2 linked regions of the Lonchura striata genome follow. The protein of the gene in region 1 interacts with the protein of each later gene in a pairwise test. Links are inferred from orthologs where the notes say so. Each region holds a gene or a part of one and is shown on either strand. Other genes may lie near its edges.

The links. The genes of interacting proteins can lie anywhere in the genome.
Region 2: the proteins of GAD1 (region 1) and HAAO interact in a two-hybrid assay, tested with the Homo sapiens proteins (4 studies listed by BioGRID and IntAct). The two-hybrid records come from large-scale screens. The link is inferred for Lonchura striata from reciprocal best matches to the Homo sapiens genes GAD1 and HAAO.

Annotation. Positions count from the first base shown.
Region 1 is NC_134610.1:20,102,574-20,113,107, reverse strand, and holds the start of GAD1 (glutamate decarboxylase 1), read right to left. Parts: upstream 4,909-10,534; 5' UTR 4,612-4,908; intron 3,473-4,611; 5' UTR 3,397-3,472; coding exon 3,327-3,396; intron 1,595-3,326; coding exon 1,532-1,594; intron 1-1,531.
Region 2 is NC_134605.1:14,236,680-14,246,454, forward strand, and holds the start of HAAO (3-hydroxyanthranilate 3,4-dioxygenase), read right to left. Parts: upstream 3,873-9,775; 5' UTR 3,752-3,872; coding exon 3,672-3,751; intron 1-3,671. UniProt on the Homo sapiens protein: Catalyzes the oxidative ring opening of 3-hydroxyanthranilate to 2-amino-3-carboxymuconate semialdehyde, which spontaneously cyclizes to quinolinate.

The DNA of each region.
Region 1 (10,534 bases):
TTTAGGGTCCGGAATGATATCTTGTGAAAGGTAAGGACAAGAAGGTATCACCTGCAACAGTCAAATGTCAACTCGTTTAGCATGTTTAATTAGGATTCTTAGCAACCTTAATACCTCACTCTGTTTACCATTGGCAACCTTCCCTGTGTCTTTGTGAAGGTGTTCCAGTCAAATGGGAGAGCCCATACAAGCAAAAACAGTGGTCCTGATCAAATCTGAGTATTCCAAAACGGCATTGCTCACTATTCAGAGTATATTCTTCGTATAAAACAGAAAAGAACCAGTAAAGGAAAACTGAGCAAGAAACCACAACCAGAAATACAGCCTGTCTTGAACTCCCTTCACAAAGCCTTCACTACACTCTCTTATGTCCTTCTCAAATCCAAAATGGTGGGATATTCAATTTTCAAGTATTTGAGCTCATTGAGAGAAGCGGCGCTGTCCTTCTCTAACCCCCGTAGTCTAGCAACACGGAGCAAGCCTAAATGCGCGTTACTTTATCAGTTCTGCTTGCCGGGCTAAATTAAAATGATGGTGAAAATGCCGATCGCTCCAGCCACTGAGGGGACTGGTAGGGAAATGGTCCATTAAACCCAGATCAGGAGCTATTTATAGAACTGAGCGACTACTCGTTAATGTCGCCAGCGGCTACCAGTGAAATCTCTCACAGACACAGGGCTAAACATTTGCACCCTGATTCTTTTTCCGTTCAAACTTCCAGGTGACAAAACGCTTAATGAATGAACTTCGCCTCGACCAAGCAGGGAAAGAGGTTTAAATGCTCCTTTGCATCGAAAAGAGGTTAGTTTCTCCCACGACATATTTCCCATCCCCTCAAAAGAGACAGAGGGGGAAAAGAGAAAATAATTTCTATGCGTAAGGGGTATGGGCTAAACGGAATGATTCCCCCATCAGAATATAAAGATTTGACTGTTAGTCTCTGAAAGCGAAGGCGCTACTGAGATATCTAGAGAAGGAAGACAGCTTGTTATCTGCAAATGAATCTCTTGCTATAACGTTGCGATCCGATTGTGCATTTGTTTCCCTTCTGCATTTCATGTGCCTGAGCGCTGACTGGCTGCCAGCGCTATCTTACCAGAACAGCAAGCTGACGAATTGCTCTTTAATAAGGCTCTCGTTAATCTTTTTTTTTTTTTTCCCAGGAGATCCGTATTTTCTAGTCAGATAAGGCTGAAAAATCCCAGACAGTGAGAGGCGGCGAACCGGCCCCCCACCCCCCGGTTTTCCTCCGGCCTCTCCGGCGGGTCCTGAGCTTTCTTCGCCCGGAGCCCGTATGTGGCAGGAGGGGCAGCGGGGCCGCCGCCGTCCCTCCCCCGGCGGACAGAACCTCGGCCGCGGACGGCCCACGGGAGGGCACAGCGGCGGGGCCGGGGCCGCGGAGCCGCCCTGCGGCCGGCAGGGGGCGGCCGAGCCAGGGCCGGCGGGCGGCCGGGGCTGCCCCCGCTGGGGCGACCGCGTCGTCACGCGTGGGTGTGCGGGGTGTCGTACGGGGAGGCACGGCCGCACTTACCGCATATCTTCAGCCCGATCTTCCTGGTGCACCCGTGAGCCACGCCGCACCATGAGTCGTAAGCTGGAAGAGAGAGCAGAGTTGTTCCCCTGGGGCGGCGGGGCTGTCCGGCCGCCGCGCCCCACCCCGGTCCCCCGCACGGCTCCATAGCCGTGAGAAACGGCTGACACCGAGCCCGGCGGCGCTGGGCGCGGGGCAGCTGAGGCTCGAACGACAGCGAGGTGACATGCTGGCCTGCCCAGAGGAGAGGCGAAGGCACCCGGGACCCGACATCTCATCATTTACTGGCGGGGCTCCAGGGAAGCAGCAGCTTAAAATAAAGTGGCGTGAAATGGGGTCACAAAAGAGTTCAGGAATTAATTGGGTGAAAAATAGTATTTGACTAGATGATCGGACTCGCATCATTGAGCCTCGGACGGACTGACGGGGCACCCGACGGCCCTACTGGGACCGCACCCCCAGAGGGAACAGGCTGATTCCCAGCCCCTCGAGTCGTGGCTCGGACACGCCCCGGTCGGCCCCAGCTGAGCCCACGGGAAGCGGGGAACGAAGCCCAGGACCGAGGTGGAGGGTGCGCCAGCCGCGGCCACAGGCACTACCGAGCCTCTCCCGTTCGTCGCTCACGGCACGGGGCAGCCGCAAGTCCAGTAGCGACGGACCCAGAGGGCGAGCGGGGGCCGGGGGTGGCTGACGTGGCGTGGGGGGAGAAGGTTTCAGACGGCTCACCCAAGCACGGAGGCAGCGGCCTGACTCTCGGGGAGGGGGAAGAGCCAAGGCGCTCCCGACCGCGCGGAGGGACCCTCTCGGCAGGGGCGCTGCCCGCGCCCGGGGGTGGGGAGCCCGTGTGGGCAGGGCAGGATGCTGCTGCCAGCGGTTATCTTTGTTTTAGCTGTGTTGCCAATTAATTCGATTTCTCTGTGTGACACCTCAGTCGAAGGCAGCAGTGCCTGCCACGCGCGCCTGAAACAAGACCCAGTTCTGCCGTTCGCCCCCTTTCCCGTTTTTTCCAGTTTCAGAATAATGACAATAATGACTCCGATGCTCCGTGTCTCGGACTGCTTTCAGGGTAAAAGCTATTACCTGCTCTGCTGTCCCTGACAACCTATCATTTCTTAGTGTTGGCCCGCTCTTTGTCTCTGATGCTTCATAACATCGAGCCTCTTATTGTTCGGGTTTTAATTTTTTTTTCCTGTAGGCAATGGTCTGAACTGCCTGGCAGGGCTTATAAACTGATTCTCTATCCACCTGCAGCAGCCTCTGCTTCCCACTCACACCTCAATAACTCAAGGCGAATTCAGAGCAATTAGGAATATAACGCTTTGAAAAGCTGCAATTAGCATCCAAATTTCGCTTGATTACAGGCTTCAGCGTAGGCTGAAAAGAAGCTGCAGCATTAGCATTTATAAAATGTAGCTGGGAGACACCTGCTTTAATACCCTGGTGTAACTTCGCCCTTTAACTGATTTGTTTTCTCCTCACCCCTTCCAACATCCCGATTTTGTTGTTCATCTGGGAGGTCAGTTTATTGCCTGTATCTCTCAAACGTGTTTGTAAGATAAAGACAACGTTGGCCAGTAAGGTGGGCTTTTCCTCACAGCGTTTTACTCGCCACGGACCGACCTCTCCTGTTCCCAATAGGAAGATGGTTTCTTTGTGTAGAGCACTTTCCGCACCTTGCTTAATGGCGCGGAACAAGGCTTCATAGATGTATCATTTCGTTTCGAAACTGGTCTTTCTGAGCCTAAATGGAGAAAGCCTCCAAAACACTTAAAACGAGGAAAATAGCAAAACCTACTTGTAGGTCGCAGATTAGGTGGGGTGGGGTCCGGAGCATCGTTGGAGGACGAGGGAGCAGAGGAAGCCATCCCTTCAGAAAAGCCCCGGTCCTCGGAGCTCGTATTTCCTCGATATTCCTCTGAGGGGTGGGCAGCAAGGAATTTGCTGGAAGGAAGAACAGGCGGGTTTAGTAGTCTAGTCTCCTGGAGCACCGCACCAGAGTCCCGTCTAGACGTCAGCGGGCGGCAGCCGCGCAGGTCCCGAGGCGGCGGCAGGACCGGCCGAACCGGGAAAATGCCTCGACAGACTGAAGAGCAAAATCTTCCCTTCCCTAGATTCCAGGGCGCTACCCCCCGCGCCTGAATGACGGATTTAGCAGAGCATGAAGCCTATAGCAATTATATCGGTGGCCACTGAGCAGGGCAGTTATACGGCTCGCATCAAATGGAGACCAACGTGCAAAGCGGACTTCGAAATCACCAGCCCAAACGACCTACAATCCCAAACACAGCCCGCTTCTGGGCTTTACCAAACACACGTCAGGCTGAGCATTCAGGAAAGACTGACAGACAAAACCCCGCCACAACAAAGGTGCGTTTTGCCCAGGTCCAATGACAGGCGCCACATACATGTGAATTTACACACACATGTTTCAGCAAACCGGGGCCACTCTGTGCTCCAGCACTAACCAGCGATCTCCCGTGCCCGTGCTCGCTTTTGCGGCGCAAATGGCAGGAGAGGCATGTCTGTCTGGGGAAGGGAAGGAGTAGGAGCAGCCCTCTCTCCTCGCCAGATGTTCAGCTCTTTCCTGGCGGACACGGCGTTCCGATAACCAATACAGGGTCGCTGATCGAGAATTGCCGGGTCACTGCCCAGCTCGTCTCTTTGTCCCCACGTCTACCTGCGATTTATTTTCTTCTCCTTGTAAAGAAAATGAAGGTCGCGGTAACGAAAGAACGCTTTCTTTGTTAGCGGCTTTTTTCAAATCGGTAGCTACCGATTCATTTCCACTGCTGGGTGGATTTACACCCGCGTGTAAACGCAACGGATCAATGATTTCAATGGAGAACAGGTAGGTAAATTTTTTAAGACGAGAAAGAAAACAGCCATAAGCAGAAGATATTTTCTAGACAATGCCTAGAAGTGAAGTAACAGGTTAACACTATGTCTAGGGCGGTATCAAAAAAACCCGTTATTCCTCTATTCATACGACAGCGACCAAAACCGATTTGTGGGAGAAAAAATGCTCCAGAGGTTCCCAAAGGCTTGAAAAAACCCCAGGATGCTGTTTAGAGGACACTTACCGAGGAGGCGAGCGCACACTCTTATTGCCGTAGTCCAGGTTGGCAGGACGACTCTAGCCTGGGAGCGACCCGCCGCTTATAAACTCTGCCAGAAACGACGTCGGAATATCAATCGCGCCGCGGAATTTAATGCGAGATGACCTTTTTTCCCAGAAGTGCTCGGATTTGCTTTTTTAAAAGCGTGAATCGCCAGTTGATCTGCTTCGACGCAGGCATGAGTCACAGGACTGCCGCCACCGCCTCCACTCCGCACGGGGGCTGGGGACCGCTGGGGCGGCCGGCTGGGGCGGGGAAGGGCGGCCCACCGGCCCCGGCTGCTGTCGCTGGTCTGCTTCGCCCCGGGGCGGCGGGGCTGACTCCCGCGGCGGGTGGGGCTGTCCAGCCGCGGCAGGGGCGGCACCCCAGGCAGGCGGTTCTGCCGTGCGAGCCCCTCGTCGAGCACCTCGTGCGGATGGATCCAGAGGTTTCCCCTAGACAGCACCGGCTTGACCCGAGGTCGCCAGCTGTGCTAATAGGCACCGTACACATCGGCGCACCGGTGAGGCGACGCGGCCGAACTCCCGTCCCGGCCTTTCCCTGAGCATGGTGCGAGACTCGAATGAGCCGGGCGGGGTTCGTGTGAATTGTAGCTTAGCAACACCCCCTGTCCCCCGCTCCGCCGTGCTGAGGGTCTGATGTGACCCGCTGGCTCAGTCCGTGGTTCCCGCGGCTCGCCCCGCTCCTCCCCGCCAGAGGGTGGCAGAGGCACGGGTACCGCTGAAGGGGAACACCTGGATGCCTGTGACTTACCCTTAGATTACGATTTTATACCAGACATCCCTTTGCTAAAACCAGAAACATTAAGATAACGAGCTTTTCATACCCCTGACAACCCCATGTCTGCGTTACTCTATCCCACACCCTGAATATGCTTAGCCAACATTTTATGGTTGTGACCACGGTGCTGTATTTCAGCATGTCACGGTAGCTATGCAGATGCCTAAATCAAACCCTTCTCAAAAAGATGCCACATAAGGGGCTGGGAGGAATCCGCAATAAGAAGAGAGGAGGGGAAACAGTCTGATGGAGCCAGAGAATTTCATCTTATGCAGTAGATGCTAGGCAGTGCAATGAGCATCAGGGCTGTGTCCTTTCTGAAGGACTCGAGGCAAAAGCAAAAACTTACAAGCCCGTTTGGTAAAGGAAACCATCCGACAGACAGTATTAAGTAGCCAAGACAACTGCTTTGTCAAGCACACTTGCTCTCTAGGAACTGGACATATAACAAAAACACCGACAGCACAAAGGCCAGTTTTTAAACATAGCTTTACAGATATTAATGGCCCTAGCTAACATGACCTTTTCTCGTATCTAGACTATCATTTTAAAGCTGGTTTCAACCAATTGAGCAAGACAATTGCTCAGTGCAGAGTGGAAGTAATAATAATATAACTGTAACTAATAGTCTTTATAATGTAAACAAACGTTCAAAGGAAGTAATGGCAGGACTGCAATACAAAAAGTCAACGAACGACCACACAAAGAACCCCTAAGCCATCAGTCACTTTGAGGCACGACCCGGCTGGGTGTATTCCCGACACACAAATTTTTCCTTTCCTTCTGGCTTTCCAGAAGCGCGTGTGTCCGGAGTAAACAGACATGGTTTAACATAGATATTTACATCCTCGTAGAATCTGAGACCCGCACTTTCCAGCACCTCGAGGAGCCCGGCGCTCCCGGCTCTCCGCTCAGCACCTCGGACAGCGGCCGCTCCGGCCCGGCCGCGCAGCCCCGGCAGGGTGAGCGGCGCGCTCGGGGGCGCGGGCTGCAGCCTCGCACGGCCCGGGCGGTGTGCGGAGCGCTCGCTGCCTCCCGGCCGTGCAGGAGCACGCCGAGAGCGAGCCCCACGGGCCCGGCCCCGCTCCCCGCCTCTCGGCCCCTCTGGGTGGCGCTGCCTCTCAAGCCCAGACGCTCCGCAAAGCCCTGCGCAGACGCCCGGCCGCGGCTGCGGCTGCTCCGAGCCCGCGCTCACCACGGTCTATTCGTCCTGGCCCCGGCGGCGGCAAGGGAAAAGCAGCAAACCCTGGGGCTCCGCGCGTCCCTCCCTCGCTCATCTACAGCGTGGCTGTACAGCACGCCTGGAAACGCTTGCTAATTTTCATTTGCAACGGACCTGCTTGAAAAACCGACCTAAACCCGAACTACTCCAGCTCAGCGACTTCATTCAGAACTCGCCACAACCATTGAAATCTTTGAAACATCCTTGCCAGGTGTACACGCCCAGGCTCGGGCACTCAGAGATGTGCCGCTTTCACCGAGAGAGTTCAAAGTCTTCCCCTCCAGCTGTGCTCCTCCAGCAATCTGCTCTTTTCTCCTTGCACGTGACTGTCCCTTCCCTGAGTCTACTGCTCCAGTGCACTCTAGGCACAGGTTAGAGAGAATATCTTCGTAGCTGGGGATCCAGAAGACTTTGGCTTTGCTTTGAATCCAGATGTTTACTGATGATGTGAAACACGCAGAAAAAACCATTGATGCGTGGTATCAGCAAGACAGTAGGATGAAGATATGTAATTCCCTTAGCTGAAGCCTGTAAGCAGCACATCAACTAGAACTCACTTTAAATAGCCAGGCCTGGGGTATTTCTTGAATTCACCTCCATCCACAAACGGCACATGCTAAAATATGAATCCTGAATACCCTGAGTGTGCAAAGGAATGAACGTGATGCAATAAATATATTTAGCAACAAAGACTACTCAATAATTATATAGTTTTTATAGATGTGGACATATAAACAATGACTGTCAAGCAGGAAAAAAAACCCCACTATTTGTATTGCAACCTGTAGATTTGAATAGTCACTGTGTTTGGAGCTGCATACAATATTTTAAGAGAGATGAGCACCTCCTGCCTACACGGTAAGGAGGTCACAATATAGATAGATGACAATGGAGAGGCAAATAGAGAAAAATCCCAGTGCCCTAACGCTTCTTATTTCTTCATATTCTGAACTATAGTCATGTTATATATGCATTTATCTGCAGGCAGAAAACAAATTTGACTTCTGGTGATTATTATTATTATTGTGGGGGGTTCCCTCCATGAATTCTCTGTGTTGCCTTTTAATTGCCATTTTGTGTGGATTACGAATATTTTAGCAGGCTGGGATTAGGCAAATTCTTTCTTTGAAACTGTATACAACAGTAAGTACAGAGAACATCTGTGGTGTTTCTGGACCTGAGGGTTTGTATTTTTGTCTTTGCAGCCTGTGAGGTTTTCTTTTTCTTTTTAGTAATACAGCTATAATTTTTAATCCAGTACATTATTACAAATTATATTTATTGCATTCAGTATCTCTTTCTTTTCCTACAATTCCTGGTATACAAAAATGTCTACCTTACCTGTATCTTACATAAAATGGAATCATTTAAATAATAAATTTCATTAACTCTTGACATAGAAAAATTGGAAAATTGTTCAAAATTAAGTTTTTCAAAACTTTTGTGGCTATCATCTTTGGTACTTAAAAATACAGATAATAAATTCCTGTATATCTGTAATGAAAAAAAATGAACATGCCAAGAGAAAAAATAACAAATTAGTGCTCCGATTATTTGGATTACTTGGCCCTGTCCAGAAAATTCTACAAATGGAAATTTGGTGAAGACTGTGGATTTATACTCCTATGCTACAGATAACTTTTGCTGTTCTCTATAACTTGACAAAAACTAATAGAAGATGAATGATGTGTTTGCTTTGGGTTTATGAACAGTCAGTACTGATGTACCCAACTGGCCCATATTTAAGGATCATGTACATCACTCGAATTTCAAAGACAGCTCAATATGAACTGCCAGACAGAACATTCAGCACTGCTGTGATGAAGGGCATTTAGAAAAGTCTAATCTGAAGCACATTGTTTTACATACTTTGTGGCTTCTTGTTTCAGGATGTCCCCTTCCTGATCCATGCTGGCATGTCTTGTTGTCCATTTTGATCTGCTTCATCTGAAAAACATCCCAAAGAACAACCCACATCCTGAAACAATAGCAGTGGAAAATCCCAACTCCCAATACCCCCAAGCAAACATAGAAAGAAAGAGAGTTCCCTTACTTCCAAGCTGTAACAAAATAAAACCTTTTTTATCTAGATGGATCAAACAAATTACTTAAGTTAGGTAACTGTGATTGCAACTTGAAAGAGTAACACAAGTGATAGTACACCAGTAAGTGTACACTCTCTACCAGTTTTAGGAGGTTGCAATTTACCCTGTGTCTGAAAGGAAATTTATTTCCCACCTCCCCCAGTAACCCTGTAGAGCCCAAACAGCTAATGCCTGGATATTTTTCCCCTTATGATATTATAATTGATACATATCACTGAATTATATATTTTATCCCAGAGGAGGGCATTAGTTTACAATGAGAACATTCAGCAGTTTCAGGAATGCTGCTGCAGAAGATTGGAGAGTCAAACTGCACAATCTCAGAACAAATTTGGAGAGCTGGATTCTGGGATTTTTTAACACACGATTGTTTAAATTAAGCATATTTCACAAATAATCCTCAAGAAACAAAAAGCATGGGCTTTTCTGTTAGTTTAAAAAAAACACTTCTCAGTTAATAACTGAGTTTCAGGTATTGGCTTTGCAAGTCTCAAAAGTTTTTGGGATCATTAGAGTTGTGATTTTAGCTAGGATTTTTTGTTTTGGTTGGTTGTTTTGGGTTTTTGTTTCTTTTGGTTTTGGTTTTTGTTTATTTAGTTTTATTTTTTCCCCCTTTCCCCTCCTCTTTCCTCTGTGGTGGATAAGTCAGGTTTTGTCCTGGATAAGTCAGTTAGTTTGCCCTGGATAGCCATCAGTACTGGTGAAATAGCAGATTTCCCGCAGCACTGCATTTGAAACCCTTCCTTCCTCTGGTTTCTTTTTAGCTACAACATTACAGAAACAGAAATAAAAATAGTTTCCAAAATGGAAGGTTAAGTGCACCTGATTGAAATACAGAATTTAAACAAAGCACCAATACTTACATTTTTTAACACAGGGCAATCAAAGCACAGAAACACAAACAGAATGGTAGGAACAGCTACAAAGATGGATAACAGGCACACTGCACTCTGAAAAGTAGAGTGATATTTGCTTGTCTACCAAGACATGTTGGTCCACCAGAAAAAAACAGATGGACAGGTAAGAAAAAAAATCCTTTCTCTCTGTTAGACTGAGTAGTTAATCTTCCCTATTTCAAATGGATTTCACTAGCATTTTTACAACTAACAGATTCCTATTTGGAGGTAATAGAAATGTGCATGAACTTTAAGCAAAGCAATCATTAGTTACACGGGCTTCTCTATTCAGTACAAGTATGGAAGATTATGAAAATATTGAGGGGCATTTTTAAGGACAAAACCACTTCTCCCAGATTAAGAGATAGGTAATTCAAATTGGAGACATCTCCCAGACAGAAAAATCAGATTAGAGTTTTTACAGACACATATTCCAATCTATTTATGCAATAAAATCTTGTCTCCTTTGGCCTTTCAAAACTTCTGTGCAAGCACACACTTACCTAATGCTCTTGACTCCTGTTAATGGTATTCTGATAGTTGCACTTGAAGAATACAACCACAGGAAAAAACAGAGCTGCTGTCATCTGGAACAACATTAACTCAGCACTAGAACAAGAAACAGAACTTAGCCACGTTGAATGTTGTTGAGTAGCGATGGGATTAAATTATTTTAAGTTACAGAAGGTGAAAAAGAAGGCTTATTATTAAGAAGTAGTGTCTTTTTATAACTAGGATTGCTAAAGTGAGACTTCATTGGTCTCAAAGTAAAAACCTTTCACACTACTGGTGATCCATGAATAGCACACTGTGGTAGAACGTATCTATAAACAACATGAACAGAAAGAGAGATAATAATTGTTTAAATTCTTTCTCTCCAAGTT
Region 2 (9,775 bases), on another chromosome or scaffold:
ACTTTTCCCCCCCACATTGGTGGAATTACCAGCGATACTGATGGTAGGAATTGCCAGCTAATTTCTGTTCTGTTTATACTGGTTTTGCTAAGCTGGAATAACATTACAATGGTTTCATTTTGGTTGTGGCTATTTCCGAAAAGAAGATTCCAGGCCATTTCTTAACTCTGCCGCTCTTAAGAGCCCTAGTGAGCACTCCTCTCAGCTATCACAAGGAATGGCTATCACCCCAATTACCTATCAGTCCACTCACACTAATAAAAAGGTAAGGTAGTAGTTTTTCCTTTGATAAACAAACCCCTCAAAATCAGGGCCTGTTAGCTGTGAATCAAAATTTGTTTGCCTGCTGTTTGCCAAGTGAACTGAGGTGTATTAACCTCTGCTTTGCAATGAGGAGGTTCTGGGCAGTAACATGGAACCAGCAGGGCCATGATCCCCTGAAACACAGGGAACAACAGCAACTTGTCCCTGTGTCATCACCTTGTAAGCCTTAATTGAGAGAGGCTGGTTTGAGTGGTGGCACATACATATTCAGTCTGCTACCGTTATCACTTTTTCTGTAAAGAGTATTTAAATGATAATAACCAACACAGTGAGGTCTAGTAATGCAGACATAACAAGTAACAGTGACAAATTAGTTGGTCAAGTAAAACTAAAGAATTAGAATGACTGCTCTCTGCATAGGAAGCTGTATATTTTATATCACTGGGCTTCATATCTGTACCATAAAATAAGGAACTGAAATCCTAATTGTTTGTACCATGCCGATTTAATATTAATTTTCAACAGCACACTGTAATGCTTCTGCATTAATGAACACTTCTACTAAAGAAGGGCAGGATGACACAAACAGCAGCAATACAGATAATAATTAATGAAATAAATGCAAATCAACACTGAAGAATAGAATAAGAGAAAGGCAATCTGTGAATACCTTGTAATCTACTGTTAAAATGGGTTAGGTTTTTCTTAATAGACAGTTTTGTTATTAGTTATTTGTTATTTGTTATTTGTTATTTGTTATTTGTTATTAGTTTTGTTATTAGTTCACTAAGTAAAAGTGAAAATACTGCTATAAAGCAATTACTGCTTGACTTCCTAATTTGGCAAATCTATGTTTATTTACCCCACAGATTTACCTGGACTTTATATAATAAACAGGCTATAGGTTAATCATTCAATCATTAACAAATGTATACTGACACCATCAAAAAAATCCAGCTATGAAATATGACCAGGAACTTCAATAGGTAAGTTTGTCCACCTTGCTAAATAAAGTTGTCTGGTTAATATAATTGCTTTAAATATTGTTCTATTTAACAATTATTTATTGTTATGAAATATCATAGCAAAGAAAAATTTCAGTTAAGACTGCCAAAATGCAGTTAAGAGTACTGTAAAGGTTTCATGGATGAGAAAATTCCTTGACTCTACTATTGTTAGAATGAGAACCTAATAAATGGACTATTAAGTTTTCCATAATCTTACATTTCTCTTCTCATCCTCATAAAGAAAATGATACCAGCAGGTAACCCTTCAAATACATTATAAGACTACAAAGAATCAGTGGGTCCATGACCACACTTAATAGTCCTTTTGGTAAGCATCATATTTTGAACTCAGAAGAAGAGCTTTAGAAGTACCTGTAAAAATCAGCTGTGTCAAGGAGTTTGATTTTGTGTTAATTACTCATTGTTGAGGTTAAAAAGCATTTAAACTTACAAGATAGTTTCATTAAAATATAATGTCAGAGCTGAAATTTAATTAGATGTATAGTTTTCTTGACTCTGGTAAAACTCTGAATAGGCAGTAATTTAGGAATTGAGGTTTTGTGTTGAAATCCCAAATAGGTATTTAGAAATTGTGATCCTCTCAAATATAGGGAACACAATGTCATAAAAGCCTGAAAGCTGTAATAACTTTAGATACCAAAAGCCCTACTGTTCTGCTGTGAGACCAAGTTTCAACTGTTAAGTCTCCCTTGAACCAAAGTAAGTAACTAAATTTCAAAGTGGTTGCCTTCCAATGAGGCAGTAGGACACAGTAAGAAGAGTGCATGATACATCTCAGCACATATAGGATCAAGCCTTTGAAAAAATGTTGAAAATCTATTAGTTGCTTCTTGAAAAATCACCTAAAACCTTTTGGAAAACCCTGAAAGCATTTAGATAGCACCAGGTGCAGGTGGTGGTAGACTCAGAATCCATGCAGTAGATGGTTTTACTCTCCTACATAAGCTAAAACCATGTTGGAAAAATAGATTTTGTTTTAAACTATGCAATTTTTATAATGAAAAATGTTTCTCATTTTATTGTAACTTCTTAAAATGCTTATGGGCAAAGGTCTGCGATAGATGCCACATTCCAGATTTACTCAAGGTTTACAAAGAACTACTAGTAAGCAGTACAGAACAGTGCAGTAAACACAAAGAAGATTCATCATACTGATAGGGAATATAATAACACAACTCCACATCATATATATAAAATACTAAAATTTTCCTGTTATCATTGGTAAGCTTCAGAAATGAATATGCTTCATAAAATGCTTCCTAAATCCATTTTGAAAATTAAAGAAATGGGAACACTTGTAGTGATTCAAATTTCAGAATTTTTCAGTCCTACACACAGCTGTAGTTTCAACACAGACATGGCAGTAAGGATGTATTTTTTGCTTTTTATTTGTCTTGTAACCATTGCTTTGAAAATTAAGCTTTGCCCCTGTGAATGTAAATTAATATCACTGATACATTACTGCCCATTCAGCTTTTCATTAGGGATAGCACTTAAGGGAAGGGCAAGAAGCATATTTTTTGATCTTTTTTAATGACTAAAATTGTAAAGATAGTATTTTTTTAAATTAAAGTCAAGAAAATGATTTTTCATTTCTTTATAAAACCTGGGTCTATGTCACTCTTTAGACAGAATACTTTCTAATGAAAGCTTTCTGCATACAGTTTTAGACAAAATATTTTCTCCTCAGCTTCACTGACAAAGAAATCCTTGTTAATATTCTGACACGTTGGAATTTGTTCACAAGCTTTGACACAGAGCATGTGCAAGGTATACATACAACTGCACAATGCCCACACTTTTATTCCTTATACTGGTTTTCTCATTCAGAATACTGTAAATGGAGCCTTCAGGCTCTCTACTCTCCTCCCCTAACAGATCTGGAAATGCTCTGGAAATCTGATCCTCTGGTACTGCTGCCCTTCCTTTTTCCTTGTTTTTCAGTGATATACCCTTCTGAATTTGTTTGCTCCTGCAGCTTTGGCTCCTCTGTGATGTTGGAATGGTTCTCAGCAGCTTTAGCTAATTCAGGTTGTAATTTGGTTTTGCATGTGATGCCATCTCCTCGGATTACTAGGAGTTTGTTTTCACAGAGCCTGACACAAATTCTCTTAACTCAGTCTCCGTGCCTACAAGTGACTTTGAGTTGAGACAAGTATCTTGTATTCAAGTTGATCTTTGCAGATTCTGCTGTGTTATTGCACTCAGATTATTGTCAGATTTCACTTGCTTTCTTTGGAACAGCACTGTCTGCAGCTGGAGATGAACTATGGTTCCTTATTAATCTTTACAATGTATGCATTTTTGCAGCTTCCTCTTATAGCTAGAAATATTTGTATATATAATAACTTGGTAAAAAAAAAATCTTCATTTACTTACATAAGCTTATTGCAAACAGGTGGCAAAAAGGCAGTTTTGTTTTCTTCTATCCATTTTCTTACATTCACAAGAAGCTCCATGGTCCACCACCTCTGAAATTTTGCCCAAGATATCAGAATTTGAAGAGTGCTTTTTTTTTGAGCAGACTGCCTGTGATTCCAACCCCAGTGTTCAGAGGATTGGCTGGTAGGAGAGGTGGCTTCAGTGTCAAAAGGGACAGGTTCATCAGTCAAAGGTTACTTCATAGGGAGCACTAATCCTCCAGCAGTTTGGCTAATAATTGACTAGTATTTTAAAAATATAATTTTTTTTTTTTTTTTTTTTTGAGACTAAGTTTCTTAATTCTCTTTACTGCATCTACTGGAGTGTGAACATTACCTCTACAAAAACGGCCAGTCAGAAAAGAAGTCAGAAAAAATGGGTGAGGCTGGGGCATTCACTCCTTTCAAGTCTGATACCAAAACCTCCCTTCAACATTCTAAGGCTGAATGTTTGTGGTATATGTATTTGTTTGAAAATACTGGGATCTTCTTTTGCCAAGTAGCCAAAATACAGATGTCTCCTGCATTTGTAAGACCAAGAGTAGCTGTCCCTAAATGCTCATCTTAATTTGATCTGCTCTGCCAATGTTATAGCAGGGCTTGTGGAGAGCTGACCCTGATTCTGTGGTGCCCTTTGGGAAAGTACAGCATACTGCCATCAACTTGTCAGGCAAATAAGTAACTGAGAAGAACCAGACATTCCAGATCTTCATTAGTCTTTATTCCCTCACAAGTTGCTCTTCAAGATCTACACAGTTGCTCTAGGACTGCTCACTCTGTTCCCTGTCACCTCCAATTTTTAAAAACAAATAAATCAATAAACAGTCTCCAAACACATGAAATGAGTGGGCAAACAAAAAAATCCCAAGACATTACAATATCTTAGCACTTTGCTCTTGATGTATCTCAGTCTTCTACTTTTATCTACGCTGTGCTTAGTGGGTGAATGTGTATGGGTATAAGGTGATTAAATTATCTGGTTAAAAGTGAGTAGTACATTCTCCCTGGCTTGCACATATGAGCAGTGCAGCTACAGGCCTGAAAATTCAGCACGATGAGCAGTACAAAATTAAGAGTTTTTAAACTCATCCTGTTGTAATTTTCCACCAGAAGAAAGCAACAGAGTGTGACTTTGAACTAATACTTTGCTTTTATCAAATATTTGTAAGAGTGACTCTATTTTACCTTTGTCTCTATCACTTCTTTGCACTTTAGTTAAAACTCACTGTGTAATTTATAAAACAGGAAAAAAATCCATTCATTTTTGGATAAAAAGATCCACATGTGGATTACAGTTCCACTGTATTAATACAATCACAATGGGACTAGCTGTAATTTCCTCTGAAATAAGCTCAAAGTTGTTCTTATTTCATTCAATTACAAAACACCACTGCCACATCACTTATTTAACACATGAAATTTCTACCAACAGAATGGCTTCTGTTGGTGAGACACCACCTCAACAGCAAACACATAGGGCCTGGTTTTGAACTTACAGACAGGTACATTTTGGTACTTTTTGTTCTGTAGGCTGCTGGCAGTTCTGCTCTTAGCTATGAAGGAAAGAGAGCTTCTATTGGAAATGCACTTTCACTTAGAGGCTTATAACCTAGATTGGCAGGACTGGAGAAGTGCAGACACTAGTTAATGATCATAGTTTTGTAAAGCTCTCCCTCATCATTAGCAACTTGTATTGCAGAGCAGGACTCCATTTGTTGGGCAGGAAAGCCAAGAGACTCTACAGAGTCACAGTAGGAAAAAACACAGATCCTGGAACTGATTGAGCCAATCTTTGTTCATCACAGTGTTAAAGTACCAGTCTTAACTGCAGGGCTCTTGTCCACAACCACTGTTCTAATCCCTCATCTCCACTTTTTCCCACCAGGCAGAATACAAGGTACTATTACCTGCAGAGAAAGTTTCTCAGTTGCAGGCTCATAAATCCATTTTGTGGCTGGTATGAGGTATGAAAACCTGACAGTTAAACCTACTCAGGAAGGAAACAAAGTCCACTTACAAAATTCACCATTAATATAGGACTGAGGCTATTATCACAGGGTAGCATTTTCTGTAACCTTCCGAAAATCAGTAGGTTCTGAAAAATGAAGTTAATTGCTACTTCATGCATATAATAGTGGAGCTAAGGAATGCAGATAAATGCATGGTATGAAAGGTTATGAAACTGTTTCTGAGAAGAGTACTGGAGAGGCAAAGATAAGAACCAGTGATGCACTTACTCGGGTCTCTGCAACATCCGAGTAAGTGCATCTCATACACCTCAGGAACTAACTGGGGCCTGGATTTTTCTTGCTAGTCTGCTTCATGATGGCTCTTCACATCCATCAGAGTCTGTTCCAGCACCTGGGGTTTCTTCCTTTTGGCCCTGATCTTTCCTTTTATGCAAAGGCAAGGACTCGACGTGTAACCTTTTGCTGCCAAAGGAGTGCAAGAGTACTGAAGCACAGAACTGTTACATGAAAATAATTCATTTATTGCATTGAGGGTACAGGAAAAAAGAGTTACTGGAAAAAGTTGCATTTTGGACAACACTATTTTTCTACCTTCCTCAGTCACCAAACCCATTAGAGACTTAAATTTACAAGCTTGTATCCAGCAAGAAAAATATGTTAACAAAAGAATACAAATCAAATACTGACACTGGGCTATATACTTTTTAATCTACATTCTTGATACTACCTTTTTATCTCCCCACAGCTATCTTTGTGCTGTATAGACTATTTTGTTACCATAATGATGTAAAGGGTAATGAAGGCTGCTGCTGTTTTCTGGTATGCCATAGGTACACCTATATGATGGAAAATTTCTCACAAGAAATGAGCTGCCAGTTCTCCTTGCCAAGCCAGACACCTTAATCAAGGATTACACACAGCAGTTGCATGCTGCTTCACCTGTCAGTGGTGCATATAATGGAAATATATTTTAGGTAATGTCCACAGTAATAATATAATCAGAAGAAAAAGTTCCTTGGCAAGTGAGCTGACACTCTGAATGGAGAGGAGATGCTTCTCATTTACCACGGGGATCATGGGGGAAGAGAGGAAGTGGAGTCACACTTGGGTTTAATTATCTGCTGCTGCCGGTTATGTTTACCATCTTTTTTGCCACATAAGGTAGGAGAGATAAATCCATGTTGGAGATACACTTTAACCATGCTCGCACAGCGTTGAACAAACACTTGTTTTGAGAGTGCTGGGCACCCCTCGCGTCGCACACAGCGGCGATGCTGGAGACACCAACATTAATTCCCGGCCAGTCACCGCTTACTCCTCCCTGCGGCCTGGTCCTGAGCATGCCCGAGGGAGCACCGTCACCCCACGGCTGCCGCTGAGCGCGGGGCTGGAAGGCAGCCCCAGCGGCCCAAGCCTTTACCGAGGCCGTCGGCAGGCGGGGGCCGCACGCCCCGGGGCCGAGCTCCGCCCGTCTCGTCCCCGGCGAACGGAGCGGCGAGCGGCGCTCCAGCCGCGGTCCGCAGGGCGCCCCGCCCCGCCCCGCCCCGCCCGGCGGCGGAGGGCCGGGCTCTGCCGCACCCGCGGCCTCCGGCCCGCCCACCCCGCGGGGCGGCCGGGCCGCTCGGGCTTTGTCCGGGCCCCGCCGCCGCTCGTCTCTCCCTGGCTCGCGGGCGCCGCCTTTCCCGAGCACTGCGGCGTCCGCCAGCTCCGTCGTGCCTTGCCCGCGCCGCTAACGGGGTGGCGCGGCCCGGGCACGGAGCCGGGGCGGCTTCGGGCCGCCGCTCAGCGCCCGGTGCGGGCGGGAGTCCGCCGCCCTTCCCCCGCCGGGCCGGGGAGCCCTTGATAAAGCGTTCGGGACGAGTTGGTGTCAGGGCTCCAGTGGCGCAATCGGTTAGCGCGCGGTACTTATACAGCAGTACAAAGCCGAGCAATGCCGAGGTTGTGAGTTCGAGCCTCACCTGGAGCACACAGCTTTTTGGGAGAGGAAACGGGCTTTTTTTGGGACCCGGCGGCGCTCCGGACGGAGAAGGACAAAAGTGCGGAGAAAAATTAAACAGCCTTGGCGGCACCGTGGGGCCGCTGCAGCGGGGCGCACCGCGCCCGGGCAGCGGCTCCGCGGGGCGCGCCGGTGCCTCCGTGCCACGTGTGTGCGTGTGTGCGTGTGTGCGTGTGTGTGTGTGTGTGTGTGTGTGTGTGTGTGTGTGTGTGCGCGTGTGTGCGTGTGTGCGTGTGTGTGTGTGTGTGTCTGTGTCTGTGTGTCCACAGGCACTTGTCCCCGCTGAGCGGGACAGGATTCACGGCACCCTGTCCCTGCACACAAGCGTGTTCCTTCTCCGAGCTGCTTGTGAGTGCGAAATTATAGGAAATAAAGGTTATTTTATATTGCCTTGTTTCATACGGAGTGCAAGTAAAGGCTCCACTGGTGTAGTCGCTGTGACTCAATGGTGATAACGTCTCTGTTTTGCCTCCTTTAGTGGTGACAGTCTTTGTAACTGTATTCATTGCCTGGGTAATGCTTAAAAAGTGCACACTGAAAGAAGGAAAGTACTTCAAATAATTTCTGGTTTCTCCACTCAAGAAAGGCAGTGGCGCCATGGGAAAAGGGCAGCTCTGTAATGGAGAAAGTTGCAGGGAGCTTCGTGGATGTCTAGGCCCAGATCTTGTGAATTCCCCTCTACGTTAATATCTAGTCTGCTGCTTTCACAGTGCAATTTATACCAAAAAGTTGAAAGAGGTTCTCAACATCATATAGCCAGAGATGTTTCTATTGCCCATATCAGCCCTTTGTCTGTACTGCAGGCATTAACTCCTAGACGTGGCACTTTAAGGCTCTTAATTATCCTTTCTGTCTTTTAGTTAGCACTTTGTCCCCTTTGAATTTTACATTAACTTGACAGCTTTCAGTGATGGAGTGATAATCCCTTATAGTGGTATAAGGAAATGTAAGTGGATAAGAGATATCTGTAATGTATCAAAGAATGAATAAAATTCATCTTTTGCTTGCAGTGAGTTTCATGTTTTTTTCTTCATGCTAGGATATCCTGGTCCTAGTGCTGAGGACTGTACAGAGGAGTATCGAGAATACTAAAATATGAAAGTGCTGTTTTTGTGTAACTGGGGAAAAAGAACCCAAGCTACAAATCATTAGAAAGGGAGAGGGACTCCATTCCTTGGACAGAGACCTTTTAAGAGACTGAGTGGGGCAGCACTGCTTCCTTTGCCTCTTCCGTGGTGGGTCTCCAGGAACAGGCAGCAGCTCCTGCACCCTCCTGCCAAGGAGGAGCTGCTAGTTGGACATCTTGGGCCTTGCTCTGGCCTGCTGGGCGAGTGATTATAGAATTTTTGCCACATTTTGTGACATGCTTCCATGGTGGTGCCCGAGAGTAGCCAGGACATGCATGGGACCATAAAGTGCTGTGAACTTCTCCACAAGATCTCCTTCATCCCCGTAGTCTTTACCTCAGCTTTTACTGATTCTTGTCTTGAAAAAGAAACAATTGCTTTGTGAGGTGACTTGAGTTTCTGCCCCTGTGCCTGTCACCTGAAGGGCAACATGTTCCAAGATAGGCATTTTACACTGAAAGTCATGCTAGATCAGCACAATTTATGTGGATTGACTGGAAATCCCAAGAAAATGAGCATGTGGTTTATCTGATGGCTGTTTAGTACATAAAGTGATGGGCTGCTGAAGCACGAGACCTTCCCGTGGAGGCAGGGCTGTGCGCTGTGGGGAGCCCTGGTGCTGCTGGCTGTGGCGGGTCTCTTCCCACCCCTCCATGGCAGGGCTGTAGAGGGGCTGGCCCGGGCAGGAAGAGTGCCACGCTGGGGTGAGCTCAGTGATTCCCCTCAGTCCCTTCCCCAGGGGCTGCTGTGGAAGGAGGTGACCTGTGTGCCCCCGGGAAGGGATGAAAGTTGGACCTGGGCAGGTTATCTCCAGGGTGTGTGAGGAGCTTCTTGTGTGAAGCTGAGCTGGGTTTCAGCATGGCTGCAGCAGCTCTGGTGAGGTGAAATGAGGAGGGCCTCGGCCTCTTGCTTGCATTTGCAAATTTTTCCTCAAAATTAGGTGTGTTACAAACTTATAAGAAGAATGTAG